Sus scrofa: one gene and its partners. The protein of the gene in region 1 purifies or fractionates together with the protein of each later gene. This does not show direct contact. Links are inferred from orthologs where the notes say so. Each region holds a gene or a part of one and is shown in the gene's direction. Other genes may lie near its edges. The genes, in order: ANKLE2, PPP2R1A and PPP2CB.

What was found.
Region 2: the proteins of ANKLE2 (region 1) and PPP2R1A purify together in Homo sapiens (affinity purification with mass spectrometry; 7 studies listed by BioGRID and IntAct, with this or other methods). This does not show direct contact. The link is inferred for Sus scrofa from reciprocal best matches to the Homo sapiens genes ANKLE2 and PPP2R1A.
Region 3: the proteins of ANKLE2 (region 1) and PPP2CB purify together in Homo sapiens (affinity purification with mass spectrometry; 4 studies listed by BioGRID and IntAct, counting the BioPlex papers as one, with this or other methods). This does not show direct contact. The link is inferred for Sus scrofa from reciprocal best matches to the Homo sapiens genes ANKLE2 and PPP2CB.

What each region holds. Positions count from the first base shown.
Region 1 is NC_010456.5:22,766,092-22,769,738, forward strand, and holds part of ANKLE2 (ankyrin repeat and LEM domain-containing protein 2), read left to right. Parts: intron 1-640; coding exon 641-747; intron 748-1,568; coding exon 1,569-1,759; intron 1,760-2,022; coding exon 2,023-2,665; intron 2,666-3,260; coding exon 3,261-3,392; intron 3,393-3,647. UniProt on the Homo sapiens protein: Involved in mitotic nuclear envelope reassembly by promoting dephosphorylation of BAF/BANF1 during mitotic exit.
Region 2 is NC_010448.4:57,937,368-57,941,014, reverse strand, and holds part of PPP2R1A (serine/threonine-protein phosphatase 2A 65 kDa regulatory subunit A alpha isoform), read left to right. Parts: intron 1-413; coding exon 414-528; intron 529-637; coding exon 638-708; intron 709-1,134; coding exon 1,135-1,269; intron 1,270-3,647. UniProt on the Homo sapiens protein: The PR65 subunit of protein phosphatase 2A serves as a scaffolding molecule to coordinate the assembly of the catalytic subunit and a variable regulatory B subunit.
Region 3 is NC_010457.5:54,312,671-54,316,317, forward strand, and holds part of PPP2CB (serine/threonine-protein phosphatase 2A catalytic subunit beta isoform), read left to right. Parts: coding exon 1-33; intron 34-2,400; coding exon 2,401-2,490; intron 2,491-2,598; coding exon 2,599-2,760; intron 2,761-3,647.

The sequences.
Region 1 (3,647 bases):
CCCCAGTGCATTGTCAAGGGGGCTTCAGAACCTTCACTGAGGGTGTGTCTTGATCCTGTCCCTCACCTATTAGTCAGGGCCCGTGTGTGATGAGCCCTTGCTTCCAAGAAGCCAGGTTAACGTGGCTGACCCTCCCCTGGCCAGCGTCACCTGGCTCCCCACCTGTGCCAGCGTCTTGACCTGCTAGCTAGGCTGCCTGTTCAGGAGTCTTGGATTTGCACTGTTACTCGGAAGTTCACCTTCCAGAAGGAGGTCCTTCATATACTGACCTGTCTATAATCTTTAATCTTGTTGAAAGAACTTTCTCAATGATTAGTTACCCAAAACTACAGAAATGTTAGGATTAGATTCAGCAGCACCAATATTTATTTTCCATAAAACATGAAAAGCACCAACGTTTATCTTCCTCTCCTGTGATGGGAAAGTGACTTGGGGCTCAGGGTGGCACCTCTACAGTGTCTCCCTTGGGGCCTCCTGGTGCAGCTCTGACCATTAGCCAAGGCCGGGTTGGTCTCTTGGCTCCAGGACAGGTGGGCGCATTGCCTGCAGGTTGAGGCGGGTGCCTGTGGTGCTGGTGGCTCTTTACAGTACCAGGTGACCTGGGTGCAGAGCATAGCTCAACACACCCTCTCTTTCGTAGGCAGAAGATTTTCGCCGACTCTGGAAAACCCCGCCTCGAGAGAAAGCAGGCTTCTTCCACAGTGTCAGGAAATCGGATCCAGATAGAGGCATTGAGAGAGTGGGAAGGTACTTAAAGGGCCCTAAGTGACCATCATTTTGGATGCTGTGTGCTTGTGTGAGATTGAAGCTAAAGAATTGCAGCTGCCTTCCCAATGGTAGTTCCCAGATCGAGTTTACTGGGAGAGTGTGAGGGCTGTAAGTCCTTGCAAAGGTGCAGGCTGCAGCTCATGCAGCAAACGTCTCAGTCAAACAGTCCCTCCAGGGCAGAGGGGTGTCTGAGAGGCACCAGTGAGTGTGTGGTAGGTGCTAAGCATCAGAGGAGGGCGTGGCCAGAAAGTACTAGTAAAGAAGTGCCTGGAAAGCATTCCTTCCCCAGTCAAGAAGGTAATTTACAGTGTAATCAAATTAAACTTAGTTGAGTCATTTTAGAACTTTTTCTCAAAATATATGTGCCCAGTGTTAGGTTTACAACTCAAAAGTGAAAAGGGCTTCTACGCGTTTATGTCTGGCCCAAACCAGAATCATCTCCAACTTTATGCCGTTGTTTCATGAAAACAAAAAGGTCTCCATTAGTGGAGTTTTACAGTTGACCCTCTCTAGCTCTCCTGAGTGTCAGTGTGAATGGTGCGTTTGGGTCGGGGTCTCCTTCCTCCCCAGTGGCCTTGTTGGCTCATTCCATAACACGGCAGAGTCTGAGAGGGAAACTGTGCTCGCTCTTACCCTGGGAGGGCGGCTACTTCAGCCCCAAATTTAGGGTGAAGTGAAATCCAGACCAAGATCACAGGCGTTGCTTTGGCACTGTCAGCATCAGGCTCCTTTCTGTGTAGGCAGTTCTGTGAGTTTTTGTCCTGGTCTCACAACCGGTTAACTGTGCTTTATTCTTTCAGAGAGCTGGCTCATGAGCTGGGGTATCCCTGGGTCGAATACTGGGACTTTCTGGGCTGTTTTGTTGATCTGTCTTCCCAGGCAGGCCTGCAAAAACTAGAAGAATATCTCACTCAGCAGGAAGTAGGCAAAAAGCCCCAACAAGACATGGGAGAAAACTCAGCCTGTCGCCAGGAGGACACTTCAGCCCTCGGTAAGAACATGGGCTGTGTCCTGGGAACCAGCCGGCTTCCTCCTTGTTTCCCTGCCTTGGAGGGAGGAGAGCTGGGCCCGGAGGCTGTATTTCTGTGTGCAAGGTCCTGCCAGCCTTTTTCAAGAAGGTGGTTTTCTGTCTTGGAATCTGAGGAGGAGGTTTTGAATGAGAAGGGCCTGGGCTGGGGTTTTGTGACTGTGCCTGGGGGCACCCTGCGCGTCCTCTCACCCACACCCTGAAGGGCTGCCTTTTTTCCCCCACAGGCCGTCACAGGAAGGGCAGCAACTCCATCTCTGTGGGGGCGTTTCTAGATGAGGATGAGGATGTGAGCTTGGAAGAGATCAAAAATCGGCAAAACATTGCTCGAAGCAGCACACAGCCTGCAGTCACTGCTTCCAGAGCCTCGGGGTGTAACATCCACCCCTCCGAGCAGAAGTCAGAACTCATAGAAGCCTCCGCCCCCACCATTCCCCACAGCAACAAAAATGGGTTTTGCAGCCCCCTGAGTGAGGGCAAGACCCTGGGGGGGAAGAGGCCAAAGGCCCCAGTTGGGGAGGAAGCGTTCCTGTCTCCTGTCTCTGGCTTGACTGTTGAGTTTGATAAACTGAATTTGCAGAATCTAGAAAGTAGCTTTTCTAAGACACCAAAGAAAAACTCGAAAACTCAAGAGAAGATCCTGGCATCAGGAGTGAGTGCAGAAGGTGACGGGTCTGGACTCCCAGCTGCCGACCCTCCCGGAGAGACGCAGATGAGGACAGAAAGCGAGATGTCAGCTGGGATTTCGAACTTGTACCTGGGTCCCACCAGCCCCAGGCTTGCGGCCCAGCAAAGCTGTGGTTCTGTGACTTCAGGGCCCTCGGGGGTCAATGCCTCACAGGACCCAGTCCAGAGGCGCTTCCTGTCTGGGTACGAATTAGGGGGCATACACACACCATCACGGGGCATGCACATGAACGTGGAGCAGTGGGAGGGAACATGAGGAGGCCCACTTCAACCCGCAACCTGGCAGACCTGCACCTCTAGTCCTTGGGTCTTCCAAGTGGGTCAGGGCTGGCATCCTCGCTGGCTCGATGTGTCTGCTTTACTTCCTGAGTGACCCAGCTGTGCTAGGAGTTTAGTTCATTTTAGGAAGGAGGGCTGCCAGGATCTTAGTCCCCAGCTTCTGCTCAGCTGTCCTCGGGGTGGGACTATGCAGAAGGCAGTTTCACAGCAGGACCCGTCCCCTCAGCACATCGCCTCCACTGTCCCCACCTGGGCCTCTCCGCAGCCTAGATCGTATTCCTCTGCCTGAAGGTTGTGGTGGTGCTTGACATCTGTGCTTTTTTTCTCTTATTTTCTTTCGGTTTGCCCCTGCATCATGCAGAAGTTCCTAGGCCAGGGATCAAACCCACACCACAGCAGTTTGTCACTGCCAGATCTTTAACCCGCTGTGCCACAAGGGAACTCTCAGATGTCTGTGCTTGTTATCATGGTGGTTCCTCCTTTTTCTCGTACCTTCCAGAGAGGAACCATCAAAACTGGATCGGGATGTTCTGGCAGCTCTGGAGAACGCGGACGTGGACCCTCAGCAGTACCCAGCTGTGAACAGGTGGAAGAGTGCCGTCCTGGGCTTCTCCCCCTCAGACAGACAGAGGTACCAGTGGGCGTTACACAGGGGGCGTCAGTAGCTACATTTGTACAAAGGTTCATCTGGACCACTGTCAGGCCCGTCAGGGAGCTCCCCTGATGTGTGGCTGCAGGTGGCAAAGCGGGAGGGGTGATGCCCACGGTGATGGGTGCAGGGAGGGGTGGCCAGGGTTTCTGCGCAGGGTCACCTGCGGCTCATGCAGGAAATCGCATGAGCTTTGACTCTCCAAGGCCCCTGGTTCTGAGGCTTAGTGCGCCTCTC
Region 2 (3,647 bases), on another chromosome or scaffold:
TCAGGTAACAGAAAACCCAGCCCTGAATGACCTGCAGAGTAAGGCGATCTCGTTATTTCTAACGTAGGTAACATGTGCGGTTAGGTACCCTTGCAGTCCTCGTGTTGCTTTTGAGGAAACAGAGGCTCAGAGAGGTGTAGCCACTCCTCCAAGGTCACGTGGGTGATAAGTAGGAGGAAGAATTTGAGCTGGGGCTTGGACTCCAGAGCCACGCTGGTGACCACTGTGCCATTGGCCCAGCTCAGCACCTTAGGAGGAGGGAACTGAGCCTCAGAGTGGCTCGGCGACTTGGCTGAGGTCAATCCCCATGGTGCTGGGATTAGACCTTCGCAGCGATTCCAGGGGCCTCGCTCTCGGCCAGTTCTCATTCACCTAGAGAACCGCCAAGCCCACTCACTCCTCCCTTCCTGCAGCTCCAGAAAGCAGTGGGGCCTGAGATCACCAAGACGGACCTGGTCCCCGCCTTCCAGAACCTGATGAAAGACTGTGAGGCCGAGGTGAGGGCCGCAGCCTCCCACAAGGTCAAAGGTTGGTGCTGGCGAGCAGAACACAGCAAGTGGGCGGGCGTCCAGGGGGCTGAAGGCAGAACCAGGCCCTCGGGTCTCACCTCCTGCCGCCTCCCTTTCCCTGCCCGCAGAGTTCTGTGAAAACCTCTCAGCCGACTGTCGGGAGAATGTCATCATGACTCAGATCTTGCCCTGCATCAAGGTATCGGGGACTGGGGGTGGAGGGGGGAACTAGAGCAGATCTAAGCCTTCGGGGAGGAAGGGTGGAGGTGAGGCTTTGGGGGCAGCCAGGTGCAAACCGAGCTCCCAGACTTCTAGGGCCAGGCAGGCTTGGGTTGGGGCAGTGAGGAGCCCTGCGTGCAGACTCTGGGCTGAGCGTAGGGGTGAGAGTGCTTCTCTCGCAAGCAGAGGTCCCTGGGTCTCCTCATCGGAAGGGTGGGGGCGGGGGTGCTGGGAGCAGGGTCGTTGATCTCCAGGCAGGCTGGACACGTGAGGACCTGCAGTTCTCCCTCTGCACCAAGCCTGCTCTGGGAGTGAGCACAAAAGCAGGCCGAGTCTAAGTCTCCATAGGAGTCGGAGTCTCCTTAGCCACTCAGCCCGCGGCTTCCCACTTCCTTCTCCCTCCCAGGAGCTGGTGTCCGACGCCAACCAGCATGTCAAGTCGGCCCTGGCCTCGGTCATCATGGGCCTTTCTCCCATCCTGGGCAAGGACAACACCATCGAGCACCTGCTGCCCCTCTTCCTGGCTCAGCTGAAGGATGAGGTAAGGGCACCAGCGAGGCCCTGAGCTCAGGGTGGGGTAAGGGCACCAGCGAGGCCCTGAGCTCAGAGCCGCTTTCCCAGATCAGCCAGGGATTTACCTCCTAGGACCTTCCACCAGCACCCACATTGTCGCTGCGTTGCATGTTTGTGGTCGTGATGGGCTGCATGTGAGGCACCTGTTCATCGGGCATCTGTTCATCATCAGGCATCTGTTCATCAGGCATCTACTTATTAGGCATCTATTCCTTAGGCATTTATTAGGATCTGTTTATTAGGCATTCATTTCACCTGCCCTTATTCTGCACTAGACCTCTGTCTCGGCATTGGGGTTACCACACAAGGAGTAAGACGGGCTTGATCCTCAAAGACCTTTGGCGGCGGGCTGTGGAAAGGGACATATGGGTTCCCCATGGCTCCCTGGTGATACAGGTGCTGTGCTGTGTTCATGTTTATCGGCGTTCAGGCTGAGATGCTGTCATAGAGGCCCCAGAATACAGTGGCTTAACCGAGGCGGAGGACTACTTCCCTTCCAGCGATCCAGAGGTGGGGTGGGCCTGCGCTGGGGCTTAGCCCTGCCGACCTCAGCACCCTGTGGGTCTCAGGTGGCTGCTCTGACTCTCGCCGCCTCCCAGCCAGTGGGAAGGGACAGGGCAGCCCACAGCAGCGGGCCTTGTCCCCTTGAGAGTAAGACCCGTCTGTTTTCTGTTCACACACCATTGGCCAGCGCTGTCCCTTGAGTGACCACACCTCACTGTTTACTTGGCCTGGAGCACAAAAGAGGAGAGCGAGCACCCCGTGATGGCTGGCGAGGGCGCGGGGTGACAGCCGGTGCGGGGAGGAGGTGGGGCAAATCTGGGGGTTAGGAAGGAACCCCGAGGCTAACGTGGAAGGAAGATGCAGGTGCCGTGGCCAGAAGAGGTGCAGGGAGACCACCCCCCCGGAGGCCGCTGCAGGAGCCTGGGGAGGGAGCGGGGCGCAGGGGTGTGGGCAGCTCCGCCAGGCAGGCAGGAGGACTGCGTGGGGCAGGGGTGGCAGGCAGGCTCCCTGGTTTCCTTCGGCCTTGGTGGTGACGGGGCAGGTGGTGAGACTGAAGGCTGGTGTGTGACCTGTTACTGCTGCTTCTGTGTTCCCGGAGCCCTCAGTCGCTTCCCCTGACACACGTGCACACACAGCACAGCGGTGCTCAGGTGGAGCGTGCCAGGGAGCCGGAGGAAACATTTTTTTACCAGTTCACTGCATCCCATCCGAGCCCCCCCCCAGGCGCACCCCCTCCTGCCCCCATCGCATCATTAGATTCTGCGGCAGCGGGATGATCTCTCAGCCCAGAATTACACATCAGGGTTTTATACATGCTGGAAACAGAGCCTTTGAAAGAAAACCTAGTGATCCTACTTTTGATCATGTATTTATTTCAGTTCGTGTTTGACCATCATTTAATTCTGTAATGACCAAAATTTTATGATGTTAAGTGCTTCACACACATATTTTCTTTCATAATCATGCTTTTGTAGCTGTAACTTGTTATAAATACGATTTTTTTTTTTTTTTTTTTTTTTTGCTTCCGTTGCCTCAGTGGGCACACCTTGGCTGGCGAGAGGCCCCTTCTGTGTTCTTTCAACACCCTCCCCAGCATCTTCAAGAGCATTCTGCTTTCTCATTCAAGAAAATCTTTTTTAAAAAATTATCAGAATAGTTTCAACAAGAAGAGAATTTTCCACCCTCTTCTCTCCCCATCCCTGAGAGTAAATGGCGAGTTTGTGGGAAAGGCTCCTCCTGGGGTGTCTGGCTGACCCTCAGGTTCAGAGTGGACCTCACCTTTTCAGCTCCGCCATCAAGGGTTGCTCTTCAGCTGAGGCCTGGAGTTCCTCGCCCGGCCTTGTGAGACGGCAGGTGCGCCACCCAAGGGGCAGCCCGCAGCCTGTAGGCGGCGGCTTAGTGGGACCCGTGTTAGTGGGACCCGTGTGCTGCCTTGGAGCCCACTCCCCGGGGGCGGTGTGTGTCACTCGCGTCTCCCTCGTGTCCGGAGGTGAGACCCCGTGTGGGGGGACGCCTGGTATTTTCCCACGTTCACAGCTGTGTCTGGGCGACTCGCCCCTTCGGGGAGAGGGAAGAGGCCTGCTCACTGTTGAGAACACTTCCGCTCTTGGTCCCGGGCGTGAGAACCGAGGCCTCACTCAGCTGGGGGTCTCCAGGCAGTTCGGGAAGCCCATAGAAATGGTTGTACGTGCCCTTGAGTTCCCTCTAAGCTCACGTACGTGAACTTAGGTCTCTATCCAGTTGGTTTTCAGCTTCTTCAAGGAAGAAGTCTTGCTCTTGGTTGGCTCTGATGGGTGCACCCACCCATCCTGTGCGGAGGGAGGGGCGCCCACCTCCCGGCCC
Region 3 (3,647 bases), on another chromosome or scaffold:
TATCTTCCACTTACAGCTTTAGTAGATGGACAGGTGTGTATGTGAGGGTGGATAAAAGTAGGAAAGGATTTTGATTAGTAATTTGTAGTCTGGGTTTACATGGCATTCTTTCTGCATCTCCTTGGACTTTTCTCTCTCTTTCCCTTAAAGTTTCAGAACAAGGAATTGGGTTAGTTTTATGTACATTGAGACCAGCAAGTTCTTCCTTTCCTCCTTCTCCACCTTCCCATTTTCCTTTCACTTTTCTCCTTTCCATCTGTTTATATATCATGTGTTAAATGAAGATCTCTGACTCTAAGTAGTAGAACAAAACTTAAGTTAGAAATTAAAGAGAGGACTTCCTGTTGTGGCTTTACAAACCTGACTGCTGTCCTGAGGATGCGGGTTCGATCCCAGGCCTTGCTCAGTGGGTTAAGTTGCCGTGAGCTACAGTGTAGGTCCCAGACACAGTTTGGATCCCACATTGCTGTGGCTGTGTCGTAGGCCGGCAGCTGCAGCTCTGATTCAACCTGTAGGCTGGGAACTTCCATATGCCTAAGGTGCGGCCCTTAAAAAGACAGGGGGAGAAGGAGAAATTAAATAGAAAAGGATAAATGAAAATGAAAAATCGACCTCCTTGGGAACTTTCACAACCTGATACTAACACAAAAATCACTTCTAAATGACTGGACCAAAAAGTATGATGTAAACCAAAACTTTTGGATGTAAATAAGGAATGAAATGCGAGGAAATGCATTTATTTATAGATTATTTTGTAGAAAAATAGAAATGTGAAATGAATATTTAAAGAATGAAACAGTTGGAGTTCCTGTTGTGATACAGTGGAAACAAATCCGATTAGTATCCATGAGGATGTAGGTTCAATCCCTGACCTCGCTCAAGGGTTTGGGGATCTGATTTTGCCATGAGCTATGGTGTGGTGTAGGTCACAGATGTGGTTTGAATCCCATTCCTGTGGCTGTGACTTAGGCCAGCAGCTGTAGCTCCAATTTGACTCCTAGCCTGGGAACTTCCATATGCCTTGGGTGCAGCCCTAGAAAGCAAAAGGAAGGAATGAAACAGTAAAATAAACTTAAAAAAAGATAAAAACAAAAATGGATACCAAGAAATGCAGTTGAACAATATGGCCAGAAGCAGTTTCTGAAAGTCTAATAAAGAAATTCAATACCCAAAACTGATGTAGAAAAAGGCCACATAGGAGTTCCCGTCGTGGCGCAGTGGTTAACGAATCCGACTAGGAACCATGAGGTTGCGGGTTTGATCCCTGCGCTTGCTCAGTGGGTTAACGATCCGGTGTTGCCGTGAGCTGTGGTGTAGGTTGCAGACGCGGCTCGGATCCCGCGTTGCTGTGGCTCTGGCGTAGGCCGGTGGCTACAGCTCCGATTCGACCCCTAGCCTGGGAACCTCCATATGCCGCGGGAGCGGCCCAAGAAATAGCAACAACAAAAGACAAAAAAAAAAGAAAAAAAAAAAAGAAAAAGGCCACATAAAACACTAGGATTAAGAAGGTATTGCTGTAAGTTTGGAGGCATTTACATGTCACAGTTAACAGTTACAGCTTTATTCCAGTAAATTTGGGGGGAATAGATGAAATTATTTTATAATAAAATATAATAAATATTATTTATTAATTTATATTAATTATAAATTAATTATATTAATTATTAGGAGTTCCCATTGTGGCTCAGAGGGTTAAGAACCTGACAGTCTCCTGAGGATACAGGTTCAAACCCTGGCTTTGCTCAGTGGGTTAAGGATCTGGCATTGCCACAAGCTTCAGTGTAGGTCACAGATGTGGTTTGGAACTCATGTTGCTGTGACTGTGGCATGAGCCACAGCTGTGGCTCCAATTCAGTCCTTGGCCCAGAAACTTCCATTTGCCACAGGTACAACCATAAAAAGAGGGAGAAAAAAAACTCATCAAAATCAAGAGAAAATTGCCTTCTAAAACTTGTATTATCTCTTAACATAGAATCCATGGAGGAATATATATATTCCCCCCACCCTAGAAGAAAAAAGTATTATTCAGTTTTGTTTTGGGAAGTCCTAGCCAGTGCACTAAGCAATAAAAAGAACTAAAAGGTATAAACATTGAGAAGAAAATATTCTTTGCAAGCAACATGATTATGTACTTAGAAAATTCTAGAAAATTGAACTGTTGGAACCAGTAACAGGAAAGGGGGAAATACACTATAGAAAATACCTAGGATTATAAAGAAAAAAGAAGTATATTTAAATGTTAATAGCTCTCTCTAATAATGTGTTTTTGTATTGTATTTTATAAGTTTATTAAACATTATTTTGTAAAGAAAAGCCACTGGTATTGACATGTAGCCATTATTTTTACTCTATTGTCTTTTAGCATTTAATAAAATAAGTTCATTTTAAATTCATAAACAGATATTCTGCCTCCATGGTGGCCTCTCTCCATCCATAGATACACTGGATCATATAAGAGCCCTGGATCGTTTACAAGAAGTGCCACATGAGGTAAACTTAGTTTTAATAAGAGAGAAATACAACCACATTGTGGTACAGCTAGATTAGTTAAACATGACTACTAATAATTTGTACCACGTACTTCATTTTCTTGGTTAGGGCCCAATGTGTGATCTCTTATGGTCGGATCCGGATGATCGTGGTGGGTGGGGCATCTCACCACGTGGTGCTGGCTACACATTTGGACAAGATATTTCTGAAACATTTAACCATGCCAATGGCCTCACACTGGTTTCTCGTGCTCACCAACTGGTAATGGAGGTATGTCCTTTTCCTATAAGATGATCTCTATTTCAAGTAAACGTATCCATAGTAAGGGTTCATGAATTAAAATGTCGGTAGTTCTGTCGTGGCGCAGCGGGAACAAATCCAACTGGGAACCATGAGGTTGTGGGTTCAATCCCTGGCTTTGCTCAGTGGGTTAAGGATCTGGCATTGCTGTGAGCTGTGGTGTAGGTCGCAGACACAGCTTGGATCCCACGCTGCTGTTGCTGTGGCATAGGCCAGCAGCTGTAGCTCTGATTTGACCCCTAGCCTGAAAACCTCCACGTGACGTGAGTGCAGCCCTAAAATGCAAATAAAATAAAACCAATGCTTTAAAAAAAAGTGAATTAAAATGTCAGAAACATTCCTCCTCATTACCTAAATGAAAGGAGAAAAAATTTTGCTGGTTTAAGCAAATATGAAAGGACTAGTTGGCCAAAGTAAAATTATAATTCACTTTTGAAGTTAATTTAGAATTAGAGGAAAATTGAAAAAATAGTAACAAAACATTTCCTTGTATCCTACACTCAGATTCCACAAAGATAGATATTTTAATATTTGCTTTATCATTCTGTCTCTCCCTTCCTGTTCCTCCTACCCCACATTACTTTTTTTGAACTGTTTGAATGTCAGTTGCAAGGGAGATGCCCCTTTATATTCAAATTTCCATGTGTATTTTGTAAACTAAGGACATCCTCTTGCACAACCACTCTATATAGTTGTCACAGGAAAATTTCATTGCTATGCTACTATTATCTAAATACCTTATTCACATTTTTATTATCTCACTGATGTCCTTTATAGAAAAATTTAATTGTATATGTGGGTGTTTAATCCAGGATCATGTTGTATTCAGTCCCTTTTGATGTGGAAATAATTCCGCA